Mytilus edulis: one gene and its partners. The protein of the gene in region 1 interacts with the protein of each later gene in a biochemical or structural test. Links are inferred from orthologs where the notes say so. Each region holds a gene or a part of one and is shown on either strand. Other genes may lie near its edges. The genes, in order: probable ubiquitin-conjugating enzyme E2 7, E3 ubiquitin-protein ligase AMFR-like and ubiquitin-like modifier-activating enzyme 1.

Region 1 (7,874 bases):
CACAAAGGAACATTCGATAAAGGGACATTATTCCATACTTCATGAATTTGCCGTAATTTAAATTTCGAAAAATGATTTCCTAAACGCTTGTACAATTTCACAAGAAAGAATTTACAAAAAGTTACTAGGCATAAAGTTAAAAAGAACTATATATCATACATATTAAAAATATATCGATTCAACATTCTTGGCTAAAATATCATCTTTTCGTAAAAGAAATAAAAATTCTGCGAGTGAGTTTCCCAGGGTTATGCGGCATGCATATGATTAACCAGTGTTTCTGTACCTGTTTGAACTTGTGCAACACTGAAAAGACTAATAAGATCCATCAGGCAGTGAGATGTCTGAGATTGATAAGATATGGCATTCGCCAACAACACCCAAGGAGACATTCGCCAACAACACTTAAGGAGAAACTATATGGACCAGTGGATGCCCTACAGAAGACCATTATAAATGTTGCGGAGACTGGTATTCAAGTATACGGGCGAACGATAAGAAGATATGCGCATACTATAAGGAAAGCCGCACGAAAGTAATCAGTAAATGATCGCATCATTCTTCTCGATATTTAATGGATGTTTTCTGTAGTAGCAATCCATCAACATCTCCTTATTTTCATATTATGAATAAGATATGTGACAAGAAAACGCAAAACGAGAGAAAGATGTCATCAATTATACAGATATTTTCCATTGCCGTGCGGCTTTTCACAATAAGCAAAACACAAACCGTATGATATATAAGTTATGATTGTTAAGCCCCGGGGTTAAAAATGTGAAACAATAAACAAAAAACAAACCAGACAGTCTTATTCTACAAAAATAAAAAAATAATATGTAGTGACAAACAGCAATTAAAAAAACAACAACAAAACAATATGTTATAGGCTTTAGTCACTATATATTAATATCTTGGTATTCTTTAAAAACCTCTTTGGGCAGGCACATCATAAGAAACTAGTTGAGTTAAGCATGTTTTGCTCATGTATTTCTTTCTGTGATCCATGATGGTCCAAATTTGATTGTTTGAATGGGATTAAAAGAGCGGCGAAATATACCAAAAGGGATATCAAAAATAACAAATAGACATCGGCACAATATACTGCCAACGCCATAACAAAATAAGAAAAAAGACCAAAAAGACAATAATATATGAAACGCAACATAGAAATCTTAAGACTTGGTCTCAGGTGGTAGGAAGGGTAAGTAGATCATCCTCCAAGAATATGTCTATGCATTAAAAATATATATAGCGTTCATAAGTAGGGCATCTGTACAGCGAAGCGCCACTTTAAACACTACTGTCTATATCTTAAGTGGCGGAATCAGGGTGGGTGGGGGTTATAACCCCCTTTTTGTTGAAAATCAATGCTTTTGACCTATATTTGGAACCTTTTATCCTTGGTTGGAACCCCCTGATCGTGTCGGCCAGTTTTTATTGGTGGTGGAAGCATGAGTGCCCGGAAATCATCGCCGACCTTCATAAAAAAAAAAATGAGAATCCATGTCAATTAAGATATTGGAGTAGAGCGCAGTCGTGCCACTTGCAGGGTTCGAGCACACCACCTCGGTGTTGACAGGCTAGTAATACAGTAGTTGGACTATACCTAGAACACATTTTTAACAGCAAAATATGCTGACGCAATTTACGTCTTTCACATGTACCATTGCTGCAGGAAAGTTGACGGTGAAGAATTAATCAAATTTGTAATGGTATATATTTTTTCCTATTGTTTCATATAAAACACCGGCTACTATACTTGTTTGGCGTCCTTAAAACATTCAAATACACATAAAATATATATATTAAAGCAACTACATACCTATATATCCTTTTTGCCGTGTGGTGCAGTTTCCATTACATTATAGAGATTCGCATATTTTCCTTGTACAATGACACCGTTTACAGTTCCAATATTGTATTTGAGTATTTTGTTTATGTTTCCACTCAGTCAGTGTTTTCTTATTTTGCATATTTTCCTTGTACAATGACACCGTTTACAGTTCCAATATATTGTATTTGAGTATTTTGTTTATGTTTCCACTCAGTGTTTTTCTGGTAGTATATATCTATATTTCAAAATAAAACTAATATCGTTTCTTTTCTAGGAATGTACATATGCTCCCTGCGTAAACTTGACTGAGTTTCTAATTGTCTTTTTTAATACCAAGATCAGGATATATATACATCTATTTGCATAAAATCCTCTTACTGTCAAAAGAAGCTCATGTGCTATTATTTAGAGAATGAGTAACCATGCAAGATAATTTTCCATTTATTTTTGGTGTCAAATTATAGTAACTTTTCCATTCATTGATTTTTTTATTGTAATTCATTATTCAAACAAGTGCTCTGTTTTCGTACAATTTTAATCATTTTAATCTGTACATTTACATACTAATTACAAGTGCTTTGTAATCCGTTGTCAGAGTCTATTGTGTAAATGCTTTAACATTTAATTTCTTATCTCATTTCCTTTAACGAGATTTTGTATTTGCTCATTTCAAGTTCATTGTGTAACATTACATATGTATAAGGCAATTCAAAAAAGATCTGAAAATTATTTAATTGGAAATCCATGGAGATTTAGTGTCGTTTGTTGGTATGGCTCATTAGTGTTTCCCCGTTTCTTTTTTTATTTAGCATAGACTACACAGCTACTTTTGCATAGGTACTATTTTTATACTATTTCTGTACTTAAAATCTGTAGTACTGGAAATTTACTTTTAATATTTACGGTACTATTTCTTTACTTGAGAATTATTGTAATATTTAGGTACTTGTATTTTCCAGTACTTGATTTGTACTTAAAATATTGGTACAAAAATAATACAAACAATGATCACAGTATTCCATGTTTGAACATCGTAACTTTATGAGATTTGGGGAAGACAAACTTTCAAAATGCTGAAAATGTTAACCATGCAACAAAAAATCTGTAGTACTTAAATTTCAAGTACAAATCAAGTACTGTAAAATACAGGTACCTAAATATTACAATAACTTTAAAGTAACAAAATAGTACTGAATATTAAAAGTAGATTTCCAGTACTACAGATTTTTGGTACAGAAATAGTACCTATGCAAAAGTAGCTGTGTATTCAGACCGTTGGTTTTTCTATTTGAATTGTTTGATATATAGTCATTTCGGGACCCTTTATAGCTAACTGTTCGGTGAGAGCCCAAGGCTCAGAGTTGAAGACCGTGCTTTGACCTATCATGAATTGTTTACTTTTTACACATCCTACCTTCAACGGGATGGATAGTTGTTTCATTGGCACTCATATCACATCTTCTTATTCATATTTGCTGCATATCTAAATGTATGATTGCTCATACTTTTTTACATCAGTTTTTCGTATACATGGTATAGATTTGAACTTAATCGAATGAAAATATTTAGACGCCATCATTTTTAATTGACAAAGACTTGCGTTATTCTCAAGATATTTTGTAACCGCAAGGTCATCCTATATCCTTGTTACATTTGAGGTGGAGATTTTCAATGAATACTCAGCAGTTGGGCAGACAGCAAGACGGGGTACATTTTAAAAGTCTCAATCATAGGACCTACATTATTTAATACTTCAATGAATGACATATCTTATTTTATTGAACATGGAGCCCTTTTTAATTAAGCTGACGATAATACTCTTTAGTTAAAACGTATTTTATTTACTCGTAAAATTATGGATTGGACACAAGTGAAACCATACTTATGAAGTCCACGGCGAGTATAATGTTAATTTTAGTTTCACGTTACTACAGGTTTTCAATTATACATTTATTTTAGTATGGATGCAGGTATGGATGAGACACAACGTAAGTATTTTATACAAAATAATAAAGGATGAGACACAGGTTGAGTCTTCTAAACAAAATATTAAAGGATGAAACGCAAGTTGAGTCTTCTATACAAAATGACGAATGTAGGACAGAAAGTCACAGACAAAAAGTCACGGACATAAAGTCACAGGACAAAAAGTCACAGTCCATTTTTTCTGATTATTTTCTTTGAATAAAAAACGCGTATTTCTACAAAAATATTTTTGCATTTTTCTTGAACTATTGTACATAAACCAACTTTGTAAATAAAATTTATCAAACAAATATCAAAGATAATTAAATAATTGTTAAAAAAACGAAATGTCAAAGTGGCTTGGCACTTAAATGGCTTCATAGTGCCAAGAAATCTTTCTTTTGCACTGGTAAAATTAAATAAATCTTTATTTTTCAAGTATAATGACACATTTCCTAAATTTTAATATGAATATATGTATAAAAAGTAAATATTTCAAGTTATTTCTCTTACATATTCAAACAATTGTCAACTAATTATTTGTGACTTTTTGTCCTGTGACTTTTTGTCCTGCGAAATTTGTGACTTTATGTCCTGTGACTTTTTGTCCTGTGACTTTCTGTCCGTTTACCAAAATGACAATGGATGAAACACAAGTTGAGTCTTCTATACAAAATGATAATATATATACCGGTAATAATAATGGATAAAATGCAAGGGGAGTCTCTTTTTTTATAGGATTTTTATTTCTGATATTGTAAGTACATGGTACTGTAATTAGTTTGGTGGCTCTATTTTTTTTTTACATTTTCTTATTAGCCAATAAATGTGAGGTAATGTATCCAAGGATTTGTAAAGTATCACTATACAAAGCCTTGGTGTATTTTATTCAACACCGAGTTAATTTCGATTGTACCAAAGAGTATATTAAAAAAAAGTTGATTGCGCACTGAAAATAAAAATTAAAAAGTCCGCGAAAACTTACAGTTATCTCCCCTGTCGCTCAGCTGTGAACAAACGATTGCACCTGCGCATTTTTCACTTCCAGAGGCCGAGAATAAAAATATCCGTTGGAGTGGAAAAGCCGTGGAAATATTTCTCCCATGGCTGTTGACCAGTCAGCGCTCCTTTTACAAAGGCAGCTACGTGGTGAGGAATACAAAATAGGGAGAACATAGTCTTTGAATTTGTCCCAAAATTGAAGTGGCATCATCCTTTTCCGTCTCTTGTTGAACAGAAACGAAAACGTCTGCGCATATGAATCATCTCGACACGTTCATTAATAATAAGATTTGTTTATTAAAAATGACAATGTTTAAATATTTATACACGTTGTTAAATTCTCTAAAATATTCTGTGTGGAAATTTTCAATCGCCACATGTACAAATGACACGCATGGTCCCAACTGTAAAATTTCTTCATCAAATAAGAAACTATTTATCAACAAATGATCAAAGTTGGTCTTATGTTGAACTGATTGAGAAGTGTACTCACAATCAGATATATTTTTTCTGTGGTCATATGGTAAAAAGTTTTTCCCTAGTGTAGGAGGTCGCTGCCTACTCCCAGATTGCTCTGAGGGCCCTTTTTAGGACTTGTTGTCAATATTGATGGCATGGTAGGTCACTCCTTTGTTTGTATAATTCGACAACTGGTTATGATGAGCCCTGAGAAGAGAACCCTTTTGCAGCCAAACTAACCGTAAAAATCATTGTCCTGATCCCGATCCTAAGTTCAAAATTGATACAACTTGTACATGTACATGTAACTCTTTTCCTTTCTTCATCATTCATGGTAGACCATATTGCTTCTGGTACATGTAATTTTCTCACGGTACTTTGAGTATTTATTTAGGCACAGGATCAGATCTTGCCAGTTCTTGAAAATGCCCTGATGTTGTGATTTTCATGATGGGGAGACTTCAGGTACACCTCATACATGTCAACAGTCTGGAGTGGGTCTCATTGGGGTCTAAGCGTGACGCGGGATTGCTGATTTTTTTAAAGCGTGACACGTGAAAGTCAAATTATTGTGGCGGGAAATGAGGTCTTGCGGGACCCGGGAAATGACCAAAAAATGAGAATTGCTTACGTACATAGTGTAAGCGGGATACAGGAATCTGACAAAACAGTAAGCGGGATCCGGGATCGGAACCCCCCAATGAGACCCCCTCTGGAGAAGTGATAATTGAGACAGGTGACGTGCATTTTTTTTATTTTCATGATTTAGAGTATGGAACAATTGTAAGGTGTATACGTCTGTCTAGCATGGTTTATCTGATCATGACCTCATTTTCATAGAACATTGATAATGTTGAGTTTATGTGATAGCTACAAGTAGTAAACTTTCATATTACAGACTTTCAACATGAACTCAGTTAAAGTAAAACAGGCGAGACATTTCTGAGTGTGCAGTAGCACTCAAGATAGGTTAATTTGACAAATAACAGATGTTGAACTTGATATTTCAACTGGACTGTTTTTAAGTGTGTCAGATGAATGCTTGCAGTTTTTATGTAGCAGAGGGTACATTTTGTATTTTAAGTTTTTACCCTTTTCCAACAGTATGTTCATACATGTACGTCCCAAAGTTGGTTTCCATGCTCTAACTTTAATTGCCTCCACTAAATATTATGAAACTTATACACAATGCTTATGCTTTTTACCACAAAATACAGATCAAAATTGAATTTTTGGTGGTGTCACTTTAACGATTCTAGAGTTGTGCACCTTTACGAAGGGAAAAATTGCTTATTTTTGTTTGTTTCCCTTCTCTTACAGTCCAACTAAAGTTTGCCTCATTCATATGTTAAGAAGCTCATACACAATACTTATATATGACAACAAAAATTAGATCAAGTACAAATTTGGGTAGCATCACTCTTACCCTTCTTCACTAATTATGTCCCTTTATATGATATTCATCATGGGGCATCATCCATGGTACACCTTCCCCATTTATTTTTAGCAAATGTTTTGACAGTCCTAAATTCTTTGAAGTATGAAAAATTCTTTTAAAGCAAATAATTGAATAAGTTAATACAATGAAAGACATACCTAAATCTTAATTGAAACAGAATTGAAATACCAGTTAAAAATCTGACATTCAAAGGGATTGAAAATTATGTGAAATTTATATACCAAAAGTTAAATGTCATTAAGAAAACTCAGGTTTAACCACAGGCCCAGCAGCCCAAGCTTGTAAAATTCCTTTAGGGTCTGTAAAACTCATCTCTACTGTCTAACAGAATCTAATAAAAAATTTCAAATATTGAGCTCTTACATTGTACATAACCTGTAGATTTAAAAGTTTATCGTGAAAACGGCTTAAAAATGTATCCACCTCTGATAAAATTTGTAAAGACTTAAAATCACTTTAAATTAATAATTCTTTCAATAAAATCAGATAGTAGCAGGAAATCTTTAACATTTTAACCAAAAGTTAGACATACAATTACTGAAAACATTTAGCTATTATACATGTTATATTGAATGTTTGAAATCTATGATCATAGTTTTGAACTTAACAGTTCAATTTTAGTTTAATTATTAACCTGGAAATTCTTCTGTATTTCCCTTGTATCTATTTTTGTTTAGCGTCAGCAGTGGTCTTCCCAGATATTTCATATATTTAGCATCCTGGTAAACAAGGAAATTTGAAATACCATCTTTTGAAAAATAAATTATAGCATCACATCCATAAACAATGTATAAGAAAATAAAATGATTCAATTCAGATAGCATCACATTCAGAAATATAGCATCACATTACGATGATGCTGAAAGGCCCTGGGGAGAACACTGGTCAGTTGTTATTTGTTATTTTAATCACATAGTTTCTAAATGTACACTGTACAAACATGGTGGATGTTTGCAAATTTGAAGTATCAAACAAAAGTAAAAAATTGACATGTCAAAAACAATCAATTGAACTGAGGTCATTGCACTCTTAACATATATATAAACAGTGTTTTAAATTTATTTCCTCATCTCTTTTATATGATATATATCATTGATATTGTTAATATGTACAAAAAACTGAATTGGCCACAAGCTGTTGACAGTGTTGTGT
Region 2 (8,077 bases), on another chromosome or scaffold:
TATATAACAGAATAAAATAAATGATTGAGCTTTCCACATCTGAGAAACTAGATACATTACTATCTCTTTAGGTAGATTCACTGTATACTGCCAACTTGGAATGTACAATAGCAAAACTTTGTGATGAATCCAATGAAATTTTTCTGATAGTGTGTGTGGTTCAAGTTTGAAATTTTAATATTTTTGTCAAAGGGTCAAAGTATTTTGTCAAAATTTTATGAAAATTAAATGAGCCAAATCAATTTTAGTCAAGGAGTTTGGTACCACCTTAAGCAATGTTAAGGCAATTGTACAAGGTATGAGATCTTACCTTTTGAGAGGATTAAGTATATTAGCTCCAGCTAAATTCACTACAGCTGTAACATCATCTGGTATTCCATTTTTATTTATATCTTTCTAAAAAAATACAATATTTAATATTCATGATCAGATATCAGGTACTGTGGGTTCATTTATTTTCATTGGTATCAATTGAAGAAGTAATTTCTAGAGTATTTGTGGTGTTAGCATTAGCTCCTTCCAAAGCAACTTAAAAGTTGTATTTCATGGAGTGTTTAAATTGAGGGGGGATAGGACCTTTATATGGACTCCGGGATCGTGTGTTTTTAAGCTCGGGATTTCGGGATTGACCCTTTCGGAATCTGGGAATTCTTTTTTTCGGATTTCGGGATGTTGGGATTTGCTTTATTTAAATTCGGGACCTCGGGATTTCGTTTTTTCAAGTCCGGGATTTCGGGATCAAGACCCCTCCTATCCCCCCTCTAAATTGTGTTTTTTTTCATTCCCCATGAAGTCAATGAAAATTGGTATCCCAGGATTATTAACAAATACACATTAATAGTTAAAACAAAGTACCAGTATATATAGAACTTCTGTTAACATGTGTAAAATTTGCATATACCATTAGAAGATCAGTCATAAAGTGTTGTATAGCTTCATGTTGAAATTTACGGTTACTCATGGTTGCTTTGTCATGTTTATGGTTTGTACTGTTTTGCTCATTGCACAATGGCCATGGAGGATAGATAGAATCAGGCAAATATAAATGTAGAGTAATTAATTAAAATTTGGAACCTTTCATTGAATATATGTTAACCACAACTAATAAAGCTTGTTCTTTACCCAAGTAATAGTATCTGGTCCTGTCTTTCTGGACACTTTTGTTACTTTATAACCCTTCTCTTGTAAAGCTTTAGTTAAATGACGGCCCACAAAACCAGTACCTCCACCTAAAATAGACATATAAATTAAATGTTAATTGTTTTTTACAAACTTGTTAACCATGTTAACAGATGTTGAATTATATCAAAATAAATTTTGTTCAAACTAAATTACGGCAGTTAAATCTTTGTCGTGTCATTGACCTTGTTTTTAAAAATCGTTAAAACATTGAAAAATGGACAATTTTGCAAATTATTTATTTTAAATTAGGCCATTAAGTTTTCTTTATTGAATTGTCTCATATTTTTCAAATGGTTTTCCTACTACAACTGGATATTTGTAGATATATTTTTTGGTCAATGATTCAATTAAGAAGTGTCAATACCTCAGTATAATGGGGGTCTCATTGGGGGGTTCCGATCCCAGATCCCGCTTACTGTTTTGTCAGATTCCAGTTTCCCGCTTACACTATGTACGTAAGCAATTTTCATTTTTTTTTGTCATTTCCCGTTTTCACGACACAATAATTTGACTTTCACGTGTCACGCTTACAAAAAAATGGCAATCCCGCGTCAGGCTTAGACCCCAATGAGACCCATTATAATGACAAAGTTCAGGTGAGATTAAGACCCCTATACATGTACATTGTGTAAATGGCAAATCCCAAACACACTGCTTGATGATGCGCCTGACAATGGCAGAACATACAGATAAGGTAGCAAGTTACATGTGACATCTATCATTGTCTATTATTGGTATCTGTGTAGGATTTCAACCAAAAACAAAGGGACCTGGAATAATGTAATTTTGATCAACACCATTGTGCAATATTGGTTATATATAAAGTTGAATTCTTTGATAAGTTGTTTTAACATCATGCCAGCTAAAAAATTAGACTTCATTGTTTCAGATAGTGTAGATGAGGGTACTAACATTGTGTTACACTCCTGACGAAAAACAATAAAAATTCTTGCCAAATGACGTGAACAGTAATATTTGATGATAAAATGTAAATGATGTACACTTTCTTTTATTCTAAAAAAAACAATCAACAGATTTTGATGAATCACATTAAATTTTATCCAGAAATGACGGTAACAATAATTGCTTGGACATGTTATAGATCTCTGACGAATCATGATAAGGATATTTTGATGAATTATGGTAAAATTTTAATCAATTGGAAGCTAGCCGAAAATGACCATTCCACGCCTGACGATAAATTTAAGGGCATTTCATATTCTCATAGATGAGGGGGGATAGGACCTTTATCAGGACTCCGGGATCGGGTGTTTTTAAGCTCTGGATTTCGGGATTGACCCTTTCGGGATCTGGGAATCCTTTTTTTAGGATTTCGGGATGTCGGGATTTGCTTTAATTAAATTCGGGACCTCGGGATTTCGTTTTTTCAAGTCCGGGATTTCGGGATCAAGACCCCTCCTATCCCCCCTCTCTTATGCAACATATAATTTATAATTGTATAAATAAACCAATTTTTCAAGATGTTTCGGCTTTGGTTTATCTATTTATACAATTATAAAATGTATGTTCCCTATTGCAATTTTAAAAACAAGGATATAATTTATATATAAACAGCTAAAATATCTTGTCCTCTATATTTTTTTATAAAAGTCATTTGGTTGTTTTTGTTAGCTCACCTGGCCTAAAAGGCCAAGTGAGCTTTTCTCATCACTTGGCGTCCGGCGTCGTCCGGCGTCCGTCGTCGTCCGTCGTCGTCGTTAACTTTTACAAAAATCTTCTCCTCTGAAACTACTGGGCCAAATTAAACCAAACTTGGCCACAATCATCATTGGGGTATCTAGTTTAAAAAATGTGTCCGGTGACCCGGCCAACCACCCAAGATGGCCGCCATGGCTAAAAATAGAACATAGGGGTAAAATGCAGTTTTTGGCTTATAACTCAAAAACCAAAGCATTTAGAGCAAATCTGACATGGGGTAGAATTGTTAAACAGGTGAAGATCTATCTGCCCTGAAATTTTCAGATGAATCGGATAACCCGTTGTTGGGTTGCTGCCCCTGAATTAGTAATTTTAAGGAAATTTTGCTGTTTTTGGTTATTATCTTGAATATTATTATAGATAGAGATAAACAGTAAACAGCAATAATGTTCAGCAAAGTAAGATTTACAAATAAGTCAACATGACTGAAATGGTCAGTTGACCCCTTTAGGAGTTATTGCCCTTTATAGTCAATTTTTAACCATTTTTCGTAAATCTTAGTAATATTTTACAAAAATCTTCTCTGAAACTACTGGGCCAAATTAATCCAAACTTGGCCACAATCATCTTTTAGGTTAGTAGTTTGAAAAATGTGTCCGGTGACCCGGCCATCAAACCAAGATGGCCGCCATGGCTAAAAATAGAACATGGGGTAAAATGCAGTTTTTGGCTTATAACTCAAAACCCAAAGCATTTAGAGCAAATCTGACATGGGGGTAAAATTGTTTATCAGTTCAAGATCTATCTGCCCTGAAATTTTCAGATGAATCGGACAACCCGTTGTTGGGTTGCTGGCCCTGAATTAGTAATTTTAAGGAAATTTTGCTCTTTTTGGTTATTATCTTGAATATTATTATAGATAGAGATAAACTATAAACAGCAATAATGTTCACCAAAGTAAGATTTACAAATAAGTCAACATGACTGAAATGGTCAGTTGACCCCTTTAGGAGTTATTGCCCTTTATAGTCAATTTTTAACCATTTTTCGTAAATCTTAGTAATCTTTTACAAAAATCTTCTCCTCTGAAACTACTGGGCCAAATTAATCCAAACTTGGCCACAATCATCTTTTGGGTTAGTAGTTTGAAAAATGTGTCCGGTGACCCGGCCATCCAACCAAGATGGCCGCCATGGCTAAAAATAGAACATGGGGTAAAATGCAGTTTTTGGCTTATAACTCAAAACCCAAAGCATTTAGAGCAAATCTGACATGGAGTAAAATTGTTTATCAGGTCAACATTTATCTGCTCTGCAATTTTTAGATGAATCGGACAACCCGTTGTTGGGTTGCTGACCCTGGATTGTTAGTTTTAAGGAAATTTTGCTGTTTTTGGTCATTATCTTGAATATTATTATTGATAGAGATAAACTGTAAACAACAATAATGTTCAGCAAAGTAAGATTTACAAATAAGTCAACATGACCGAAATGGTCAATTGACCCCCTTAGGAGTTATTGTTCTTTATAGTCAATTTTTAACAATTTTCATAAAATTTGTAAATTTTTACTAACATTTTCCACTGAAACTAATGGGCCAAGTTCATTATAGATAGAGATAATTTTAAGCAGCAAGAATGTTCAGTAAAGTAAGATGTACAAACACATCACCATCACCAAAACACAATTTTGTCATGAATCCATCTGCTTCCTTTAATATTCACATAGACCAAGGTGAGCGACACAGGCTCTTTAGAGCCTCTAGTTCTTCTTTTGATGTATCATTGATACATATTAACCATCTCCCTTATTCTCAAGAATAATGCATCACCTATTAAAGCCCTCATTCTATGTGAATCAATGTATAAGCTGATAACTGCTTCCAGTAGCCGGTGACAGTCAAAACAAAACGTTGCGTAATCACAACTTTATAGCCAATCGAAAATGATAGTTTCGCATGTATAATTTGTTGATTAAAACTTTTAAACTCTTAACATGAAAGATTTTCATAACCGCTTTGAAAATTTAACAATGTAATTTGTTTTTTTGTTAAGGGAGTGATTTTCTACGAAACAGTGGCGATTCATGCAACAGGTGCGCTCGATTTCTTAAGATTTTTATTCTATTATTTTTGGGGAAAACTTTTTCAAACAAAGGGTATCTTCTTTACTTATTTATATTTTATTCGTCGATTTATTGAATTAAAACAAACAAAAATCTCTATTTTGGTATGTTTTATGAAAGAAACGATTACAATGCCGCCATAATACACAAAATTTCAAGTCGAGTGTGACACAATATTTGACAGATCGCCACACAATAATGATTTGTTATCTTTTCTAAAACACAAATAAACCACAATGCCTGTGATACTTCTAGAACGGATACCGCTGCCTAGTCTTCGTACATACACTAGTCTCTCTGTTGTATTGTTGTCATGTGCTGTGTTTTATGCCTATCAATGTGTTCTTGCTTTCCAAACAAACCCACATAATTCTGATCTAAACGGAGCCGGAATCGAACATAATGTTAACATCGGTAATTCAAAAGAAATCAGTGACATATTGAATGATCCAGATGTAGTAAAGGAACCATTACCAAGTGAATTTGACATTCAGCTGCCATATGAGAGTTTTTGGTGGAATGTAGTCTATGTTCTAACTTCAGAAATATGGTGCATTTGGGTAGGTACACTTTGGATCCCTGTCTGTTAACATAGATTCATGGTCGTCATGATTGAGGTTTCACTTTGAAATCCTGTCTGTTCACCCAGATTCATGTTCGTCCTGGTTCAGGTTTCACTTTGAATCCCTGACTCCCTGTCAGTTCACCATGATTCATGTTCGTCCTGATTCACGTTTGGATTTGGGTAGGTTCACTTTGAATCCCTGTCTGTTCCCCCTGATTCATGTTTTGTCCTGATTCACGTTTGCCCTGATTCATATTTGTCTTGATTCATGTTTGCCTTGATTCATGTTTGCCTGAGTACCTGTTCGCCCAGGGTCTATTGTTCCTGATTATTATTTGAACAGAGTTTGGTACAGTTTGTTAAAAAAAAAAATTTCCCTTGATTTGCATAGTAGAATACAATGTATTTATATGCATATATTAGCATAGCATAGAAAAAATAAAAACGTAGCAACCTAAACCTCAACCTAAAACCAGTGAGATCTCTGCAGGTTCTCCTGAAGGGTAAATAAACAGATCCTGCTCCATATAAGGCACCTGTTGTGGTGCATTTTTAAGTACAGACTCAGTGATAAGTAACCAATTTAATTCTCTTTCCATTTGTTACATATAAAAAAATGATAGTCAATGAGACAACTAAGAGGACACAGATATATATATACTCTTTATATGTCACTCACTGTATAGTCTTCAACAATGATCAAAATATTTACGATAACTTCAACTATAAAAGTTTTTAAGACATATGGCATGATGATTTTTTTAATTTCTTATATATACTGTATAAGTATTCTAACTTTTGATTAACTGTGTACATGCATGAATGTGTTTAGGTTCTGATATTTGAATTTATTTTAACATTTCCTATAAGTCGTTGTAAGTGATACATATTTATTTTTCAGACTGTTGTTAACACAGCATATTGCTGTCTTATTCTGCTTGCCAAGTTGATTCAAAAAGCTGTATTTGGAGAGTTAAGAGTTGTAGAAAAGCAGGTAATGTTTACATACATGTATTGTTTTGTATATTTTGACTGATAAGGATTACATAATTAAAATTTCTTATAATAATTGAAGTAAGTCTATTTAAATAGTTGCAAACAAGCAGAAGGATCTGTTATTGTCTGTCTTGTGAATACATAAATGTTGAAGAATTACATGCTTAAATCATGTTTACCATGTTTACATTGTCTTGTACTTTGTACATCTAGGTTCATGCTTGAATCAAACTAATGAATTGTATACATGTATGTTATTTATCATATAAAATGAATTCTTTTGATTTTCTCATTCAAAGATTTAATGTGAAAATCAAAGAATAAAAGTCATGATAATGATTTTAAAGATAAACATGAAAAAATTTGTAAGGGTTCCGCGGAACCCAGTGTCTCGCCTACTTTTGCTGTAAATCGCAGGCTCAACAAAAATGAGGAAAAAAATCAATAAAAATATTCCTCTTGATACTATCTTTTGATTGTAAGAAGCTTCTGTCCAAGTTTGGTAAAAAAAATTCTGTCCAAGTTTGGTAAAAATTTAGGATAGTTAATGAATCTAATAAATGTTTTAAAAACTTTAACTGCAGACTGTATGTAATGTTAACTGGAAGAAAATCTAAGTTCATTTAAAAGTAAAATACAGAAAAAAATGGAGTTATCTTTTTACAAAATTTACTTCTGGATACTATCTTATGATCATAAATAAGCTTCTGTCCAAGTTTGGTACAAACCCAGGATAGTTTAAGAAAGTTATTAAAATTTTAAAAACTTTAACCACAGAGTGAATGTAATGTTTCCCCGCAGAAAAACTAAGTCCATTTAAAAGTAAAATACGGAAAAAATGGATTTGTTTTTTTACAAAATTTACTTCTGGTTCCTATCTTATGATCATAAACAAGCTTCTGTCCAAGTTTGGTACAAACCAAGGATAGTTTAAGAAAGTTATTAAAACTTTAAAAACTTTAACCACAGAGTGAATGTAATGTTTCCCAGCAGAAAAAACTAAGTCCATTTATAAGTTAAATAAGGAAAAAATGGAATTTTATTTTTACAAAATTTACATCTGGATACTATATCTTATGATCATAAACAAGCTTCTGTCCAAGTTTGGTAGAAATCCAGTATAGTATTAGTTTAAGAAAGTTATTAAAATTTCAAAAACTTTAACCACAGAATGAATATTTGTGGACGCCGCTGACGACGACGATGGAATGTAGGATTGCTTAGTCTCGCTTTTTCGACTAAAGTCGAAGGCTCGACAAAAATGATTCAACATATTTAAGTACATAATTTTACTATCAGTGTAAAGGACTATCGAAGTATTTCTAAAGAAGAGTGTTTCTTAAAAGATATTATAATTGTAGATGTAATTAAACATACATGTAGAGAATGATATAAGCATCTGTATTCTGTATCAATATAAATTCTGCCAATGAAGGCACACCTCCAAAGGAGTTGAATAAGTAATCCTCTACCACACAATGTTATAATACACAATGAATGTGTCTAAGTTTCAAGCATCATGTTTTAGTGACTTACAGTACCTGGCCTCAAG
Region 3 (8,068 bases), on another chromosome or scaffold:
TCAGAGCCACACACATTTTTCAAAAAGAATCTGAATTTGTTGTCATTAGTTTAGTTTATCTATAGTTCTGTTTCCATATATTATAACTGCAGCCCTTTTCCTTCCCGACTGAAAAAAAAAACAACAAAAAAAACAACAAAAATACCAAAAAAAAAAAGAGGCTTAAATCCATAACTTTTCTATAAAAAAATGAATGCGTACACCTTATCTTGAAGTGCAACAGGCTATTTTATAAGAAATTGCGTACACCTTATTTTTGTAGCAGGCTTCAAATTTCGAACGTGTTTTTTGGGGGTTAATTTTCAAGTTTGAAAAATAAATAAATCAATGAACTTGGCATAAAATAATGATGAAAGTAATGTTTCGAACAAAATCCCCTCTCTCAGAAAAGACTTAACTATTTTCGATATCTAACAAATTAACGCAATAAAATCCTTCATAAATTTACAATGAAGGAAAGAAGGGGGAAAAAAACAAAGTAGAGACGGCAGAAAAGAAGAGAGAAAAAAACGTGTTTCTTTGTGTATCGTTTTTCTTGCAATAATTCATTCCGTTTATTTTTCATTAATTTTTCAAATGAAATAATTTTTTAGTTGAAATAAAAATAATTGCAATACACGAACTATATTTATTAAATTATAAGATGATTTAATCAACTTCATGATTGGATTACAATAAATCATGATTAATAGACAAAGATGTTTGACAATACACACAAGCCCACGACACGAGACTGTTTTGACAATGGACTCGTGCCTAAACTAGAAACTCAAATTAATTACTCTATGATGTCATTACCCTGACGTTTCTCAATTTCAGGTGTCACTAGAAGAGCTATATAACCAATCCTTTCCAAAGAATCATCAGAACTTGTTTCAACTCTTATAGTGCTAACAACTACTACATATTCTTTATTAATCATGAAAGCTAAAGTACAAATGAGAAACCTCAACAAGAGGACCAAATTGGTTGAGAGCGAACGTCGATTCAAGAGAGCCTGTGAACAGATTGTCCAATTGAACTACTCTTTAGACGCACTTCAAAAGAGGTACAACAGAGCCAAGACTGACAACAACAAGTCTTTCAGATACTCGCTACGTCTACGCATAGCAGTTGTTGATGGAATGCGCAACATGTACTACGACTACGCTCACCAGAAAGCAGAATCCGTAGCCGAACTGAGACAAGAACTGTTTGGTGAAGTTGTCGACATTATTTCAGAAGATTCTTCAGCAGACATTGAGATGTATGACTAGAGGAAAAGCACCAGACTTCTTCAAAAAACGGTTCTTTTCAGAGCCACACACATTTTTCAAAAAGAATCTGAATTTGTTGTCATTAGTTTAGTTTATCTATAGTTCTGTTTCCATATATTATAACTGCAGCCCTTTTCCTTCCCGACTGAAAAAAAAAACAACAAAAAAAACAACAAAAATACCAAAAAAAAAAAGAGGCTTAAATCCATAACTTTTCTATAAAAAAATGAATGCGTACACCTTATCTTGAAGTGCAACAGGCTATTTTATAAGAAATTGCGTACACCTTATTTTTGTAGCAGGCTTCAAATTTCGAACGTGTTTTTTGGGGGTTAATTTTCAAGTTTGAAAAATAAATAAATCAATGAACTTGGCATAAAATAATGATGAAAGTAATGTTTCGAACAAAATCCCCTTTTATTAGCTCATAAGACTAGCAGTTATTTGTGGAATGATTGGATGATCTCCCTTTGTTTAAGACGCCATGGACAAGCACCGGGAGATTTTAGAATATAAAGTACCAAATGTTGGCCAAATTGCCGGCAATGCTATTTTTAGCAATTATGTCCTCAAATGGCTCTTTGAATAAACTTTTTATGGAAAAACATCTGTTGTCTTATTGGAGGTCGATATCTACTTGTGATTTAATTGAAATTAAATATATATATGATCCCATGGTGATTTGTTTTTTTACGATACCTTACGATTTCGCAAAAAATTTTCCTTAATTTGGAACAGCATAAAAAAACATTTCTGGCCCTGATCATATACATTTGAGGTCAATTTTGAGCTTGCATGAAACTTTCTTCAAAATGCTTTTCAGAAGAAAAATATATAAATGATGTAACAACCAATCACAGAAAGCCATCTATTTTTATCTCTATGTCATGTTCCCTTCACAAATGGCTGCGCCCATGTAATTTTATTTATGACATTGTTACCATAAATGGGATACGATTTTTTTCATAAGTTTAAGCTTTTCAAAAAGATTACTTTAACATTAGCGAATATGTAGTTTATAGGAATTGATATTTTATAACGCAGGCACTATATAGTAGCCAATAAATATAGTATTACTCTTTTAGCTTTACATTAAAAAAAAAGTTGTACACCTAGATACATGACAGCGATGATAATACTTAAACCATCAGAATACAGGGCCGTAACTAGGGTTCGAATTCAGGGGAGGCAGGGATTTGGGGGCCGCCGATTGAGGCCCCCTAGATCCGCCGATTTTTTTTTCTCTCTCAGTTAAAATGGCTAAAAATTACCCGTTTTCCTTCGATTTCCTTACTTTAAGAAACATCAGTATTGCTGGATCCTTGAAGCAATTTTATGCAAACAATTATTATCTGTATTTAAAGATATTTTTGTAAGAAATCAAACTGGTAAGTTAAAAAAACATATAAAGCAAGATCATAGAACGCAAGATATTTTTTTTTTATCGAGAACCTTGAATTTCAATATTGTTGAAAGCTGGACAGACATGTATAAACTACAACCAGGGACTTTCTATACTAGTATATACTTAGTATAGAAAGTCCCTGCTACAACGAATGGGAGTGTTAACTAAGTAACTAAGGCATTGACCATAATGTTCTAGTATGATCGGGAGATGTTAAAAAAATTATCCAACAGCTGATTCAGCCGGTAACGAATTTCCGATATCATTAAAGAATCACAATACAAAGTGAATTTCCTCTGCTTAATTGAGCCCCTAAATAAATGTGAATAGTAAGGTTTTATTCAAAATTGTCGAAAGCAAAATTTCATATGTGTTCTCGTACGAATACTGAATAACAGACGGACGGCCACACGAAAAAATAAAAATAAAACATACTGAAACGGTTCACAATCAATCAAAAATCCAGACAATGACAGATATAATTATCATGAATCATGATAACACTGTTAAAACTGTAAACTTGTGTTGTTTATGATATAAATTCAAGTTTTTCTTGTACATATTGTCAATATTTCATTTTATTACTTTAAAAAAAAAATGGTGCAGAAAATTCAGGGGAGGCAGTTGCCTCATAGGTAGTTACGGCCCTGGAATAAGAACATATATGCTACGCCAGTGAATTGAATGTGGTTTATCATGTGCAGACCCAATCATCTTGGTTTAGTTTATAACTACGTAGGCATTGACTTTCGATAAAATGAAATATCTATATATAATTTTACCAACACTGCGTTGATATGTAGTCTCAAACACCGCACTGCTCCTGTTGAGTGAACTTTCCGATATAGAAACGACAAGGACACGGACGTGTGCGTATGATAACAATAAAAAAAAATTAGATAATTTAATTACAGAGAAGGTTATCCGTTCAGATATTTTTACTCTATTTTAATTACAATTTTAAGAAAAGGTGGTCTAGATTTTTGTATATGTATTTGCGGTCTTCTCGATGAATTAACACTCAATGTTAGCATCCGTTTAAATTCGCCTAATAACTTGACTTAACTTCAGCATAGCAATCAGTTCAGCGACTCTTGTTTTGGTACTTTTGGCCAAATTGCTCTGATTTAGTCCAACAGAGGTATACAACCAGCAATAAAGACATGAAGAATTGAAAGAAGTCAGAGACATATAATATAATACAAATGTCTCTGATAAAGTTAATTTGGTATTCCCAGATTTATTCGCATATCGGCATATAGTATACCAACATTTTGAACCAATTTTACACAAAGCTCATTATAAAGTTGATTGATTGTTGGTTGCCTGTAAAGGGGAGTAGTATGTATCAATTTAAAGTATATATTTTTAAAATAAGACAAAAAGTCCTTCAATATACTAAAATTCTAGACTAAAGCAAATTGATTATTTACAAATAAAAATCAACAGTAAGATAACGTTATAAAAATTAAAAACGACTTAAATATAATAACATTTTTATATTCTATAATAAATTCCAATTTCTTTGAAAAATGCAACAATATTTGTAAATGGAACATTATTAAATAAATCATACATATTATTGACATTGAAATGCTTCTTACGAATATCAGTATAGTCAATACAATTAATTAAAACATGTTTAATAGTATACTTGCAGTTGCAAGATACACATTGTGGTTCATCTTCATTTTTTAAAAGATACTCGTGTGTTATTCTAGTATGACCAATACGACATCTAGAAATAACACACTGATCTTTTCTGCACATAAAATTATTAAAAGGTTTGCCTAAATTAGCTTTAATTTCATGTTATTTATTATCATCTTTTTTACTCCATTCATTTTTCAAAATATTAAAAACATATTCTCTAATATTAGATTTAAAATCAGTATATGGTATATCACAGTTAGATAAAGGGTCACCCAGGGCATGCTTTGCCTCATTTTAAAGTCTACTGTCCTTGTTTTTTTTCTGTTTTAGTAAAGCAAATGATAATATTAATATGGAAATTTTATTTTAATCTAAATCTATTTTTATTGTACTTATCTATTAAAACAAGTAGATTTATAATTATTATAATTAGGTTTTTGTGAATCTTGCTAAATTACATAAAATTAAAATGATCAGTTTTATTTTTGAAAAAGTTATCCCGTCGCAATTATGAAATCATTGCAATAACCTGTGGTCGATTTTGATGAAAATTTTGAAAAGTTGAAACTGTTTGAGAAGCAAAAACCTTGAATTATGTTATTCGAGGTGTTGACTGAGGGTGTTGACACGTGTAGGTCCTTGTTTTACTTTCGTTTTCTCCTTTGGCCTCAAATTTGCATATTTCCCAGAATTCCCGGGGAGTGACATAGAAACAGGAAGTACTTTGTATGTCAGAAATATTATTGGAAATCACCGTAATCGTTGACTCATTTCTTTTGATAGTGTCTTTGTTCGAGACTTTTCGATAGCAATTTTCATATTGTTATTTATTTAAGATCCAACATAGAAGACTTATAATTCATCGGGTAGAAGAAAATCTGTCAAATATCATCGAAACTGAAGAAAGCCGCTCATGCAAGTCGGATGTTCATGTTGTGAACCCACTTGTTGGTTTGTTCATATATTATTATTTAATCTCGTTTATAGAATGATCTTCATACTGTTTTATTGTACATAGTTGTAACATTTTTTTTCTTTCTGGAATCATGTCATTTTAAAATTATGAAACTTGGCCTGTCAAAAAATTTATTTTGGGTGTTAACTGAGGTAAAGGCCCGAGTGATCGTTCTTCCGCACGTGTAGGCTTCCGTAACCTCCGCCATTTTTGTGGCGCTGAAACTCGTCTGCAACTTCAAAATCATCTTAGTTCCTTTAGATTTCCTTTAAATTTAGATTTAGACAGGTATTTCAGTTACAGCAAAGACCAAATTGTATTAAAAATCTTTGATTTATGCTTGAAATTACTCTGCAGTTGTATTTTCTTTGTGTTTTACCAGATGTCCAGTTGCACGGATTCTGAGGGTCCTCCTGCCAAGAAACAGAGACAAAATAACACAGAAAATAATAGTGAAAATTCCGCTTCAAACTCTGTAAAAGAAGTGAGTATATTTCAAAAGACGAAAAATAGCTTTCCGTTAAATATGCATGGATCAATAATTTCCTGAAAGTGAGCGAGATTTTTTTATATTTTACTTTCAGAGAAGCTTTTAAAATTAGTATAGACTGTCATTTGGAGTCAGTCATGTATTAGTTAAGAAATTGATGAGGACACAAATAGTTTTCTATATAACTTTTTAATTGTGTGAAATATTGCACCAAATCATGCAGGATTGATGATTGTATCAGTTTTGAAAGTGTATCAAAATATGGTGGGCTAAAGTAAAAAAGAAAGGATCCTTCCATATGAGCCCCACAACGATCTTACAGGTATCTTACAGGTAGAGACCACTTTTAAAAAACACTATCATTGTATCAAGTTGATAGTGATCATTAAAAGGGTTGACAGCTAGTTTCTACATAGGATTTTATGCATGTGCACAGAATACTAAAAATTATTATAATGTTTTAAGCTAGTGTACCCTCGTGTCGAATGTACCATGCATACATTTTTGTAATAGCATCATGAGCTCCATACACCAATTTTGAGTTCAGCAACATCAAAAGTTTTACTCTGACTTGCATGAACCTCATTTTTGAAGTTGTTAACTTATTGTCAGTATTTACCATATACATGATATAAAAACAATCTCTTAGTCTGAAACTAAAAATTGGAAGACAGTTCATTCAGTTGCAAACACACTTGATTTTGGTGAATTTTACTTGATTGAATTGATAGCCTACAAACATTTGAAGATGGAGCCTTTGTTTTTCAGTGCATTGCAATTGGCGAATCCAAATTGGGGAAGAGGGGTGTTCCCTTGAATGGAACTCCACTCCCCTTTTACCATTTTTTTTTTTTAAAATATGAACATTTCAAATGTTTCATGATGTTGCAGGAGTTAAAACTCCCTGGCAAAATGTTGGGATCTGTTCCTGCAGTGCAACATGTAGAATATAGAACACTTTTAACTTTGCATGTCCTTTACAGCTCATTGATTAGGCCAAAACAAAGTTACTTGTTTCCTGCCTACTTCAGAAAAAATAGTAGTAGATAGGTACATGTAAAAATTAAATTTTTAGTCCCCTACCGAAGAAGAAGTAGAATGTAATGATTGAATCTTATTTTTGTTGATAGGGATTTACAATGGGATCAAAGCCAGTAAAGGTACTTTTGCCCTTTATATCACTGCAGCACTGTCATGACTGGGTGGCAAAATGGAAAAAAAATAAAACTTTTATCTTTGTTTTCTGTTTTCTTCAAAATCTTATTTTGAACATGCTGAATTTTCATTTTGTACCCATCCAGCTTCTGTATTTAGTGTGCTTCTTTGGTGCTTTTCCTCATGAGAACCGTATTATGAAAACAACAAAGAATCTTAACATTTCCAGCTACTAGTCTGAATCAGAAATTCCAACATTTTCACTAAATAAGTAAACATAATTTCGTTAAATGATCACTAGCCTGAGTCAATTTATACAAGAGTTGGCCATGGTGCTTGGTTAAAGGCACAGACTGTCTGTTGTTATCCTAGAATAAATGGCTAGGACATATGTTGTTACTCATTTCAATAACCTTTTCATCACTTACTAAAAATTGTCTTGATATTTTTCTCTCTGCCTACATCATGTACAGATAATGGTCTGATCTATGTCCTAATTGGAATAAATAGGGATACTAATACAACAGGGGTGTAAACTATTTGTGTAAAGATTTATCAGTCAGAAAATGGATGAACGGGATGATTCATACATTATGTACAGATGCCTTATGCAGTGTTTAAGCTAGGATTTTGAGGGCTTTAGTCACTTTTGCGCGCTATTAAAATCAACCTTATTTCGTGTAAAAGCAATGGACGAATGATGTATATTACTAGCTTCATCTTTTGACTTAGTCAGATTTTTAAGGGATTGAGGCACCAGCAGGATTGGCAGTTATTGTATGATTTGACTGTATTGGCCATTATTATGAAAGATTCTGACATGGAATCCAGAAATTTAGTTCACAATTTCTCTTCAGTTTGTTCCAGGGGGTCATTCCTCAACAAAAGTTGGATTCTATTTTTTTTAAACAAGGAATCACAGCAAAAATTAATTTGCAATGATTATTTCACTGCATAATCATTATCCTTATAAAACGTCTCGGCCAATAATTTAAAATCATTTCTATCAAGTTGGAAATGTATAAAATCCTTTTTGGAACGATTATCATGACTGAAAGGAGGTTGTAAACAAATCAACAATTGATCACGTTTACTACTTTCGGTTTTAAAAATGAAACGAAAACGGGAAGTGACACGTGGATAATAAATTCAAA

What was found.
Region 2: the proteins of probable ubiquitin-conjugating enzyme E2 7 (region 1) and E3 ubiquitin-protein ligase AMFR-like form a complex in vitro, tested with the Homo sapiens proteins (7 studies listed by BioGRID, with this or other methods). The link is inferred for Mytilus edulis from reciprocal best matches to the Homo sapiens genes UBE2G1 and AMFR.
Region 3: of the proteins of probable ubiquitin-conjugating enzyme E2 7 (region 1) and ubiquitin-like modifier-activating enzyme 1, one has a biochemical effect on the other in vitro, tested with the Homo sapiens proteins (3 studies listed by BioGRID, with this or other methods). The link is inferred for Mytilus edulis from reciprocal best matches to the Homo sapiens genes UBE2G1 and UBA1.

What each region holds. Positions count from the first base shown.
Region 1 is NC_092349.1:6,893,581-6,901,454, forward strand, and holds the start of probable ubiquitin-conjugating enzyme E2 7, read left to right. Parts: upstream 1-4,799; 5' UTR 4,800-4,905; coding exon 4,906-4,951; intron 4,952-7,874. UniProt on the Homo sapiens protein: Accepts ubiquitin from the E1 complex and catalyzes its covalent attachment to other proteins. In vitro catalyzes 'Lys-48'-, as well as 'Lys-63'-linked polyubiquitination. May be involved in degradation of muscle-specific proteins.
Region 2 is NC_092348.1:64,430,783-64,438,859, forward strand, and holds the start of E3 ubiquitin-protein ligase AMFR-like, read left to right. Parts: upstream 1-4,972; 5' UTR 4,973-5,200; coding exon 5,201-5,524; intron 5,525-6,430; coding exon 6,431-6,523; intron 6,524-8,077. Other genes in the region: epimerase family protein SDR39U1-like, read right to left, coding at 311-396, 1,123-1,229, 4,672-4,687. UniProt on the Homo sapiens protein: E3 ubiquitin-protein ligase that mediates the polyubiquitination of lysine and cysteine residues on target proteins, such as CD3D, CYP3A4, CFTR, INSIG1, SOAT2/ACAT2 and APOB for proteasomal degradation.
Region 3 is NC_092344.1:46,511,917-46,519,984, forward strand, and holds the start of ubiquitin-like modifier-activating enzyme 1, read left to right. Parts: upstream 1-5,001; 5' UTR 5,002-5,265; intron 5,266-5,432; exon of another isoform or gene 5,433-5,557; intron 5,558-5,651; coding exon 5,652-5,753; intron 5,754-6,889; coding exon 6,890-6,919; intron 6,920-8,068. UniProt on the Homo sapiens protein: Catalyzes the first step in ubiquitin conjugation to mark cellular proteins for degradation through the ubiquitin-proteasome system.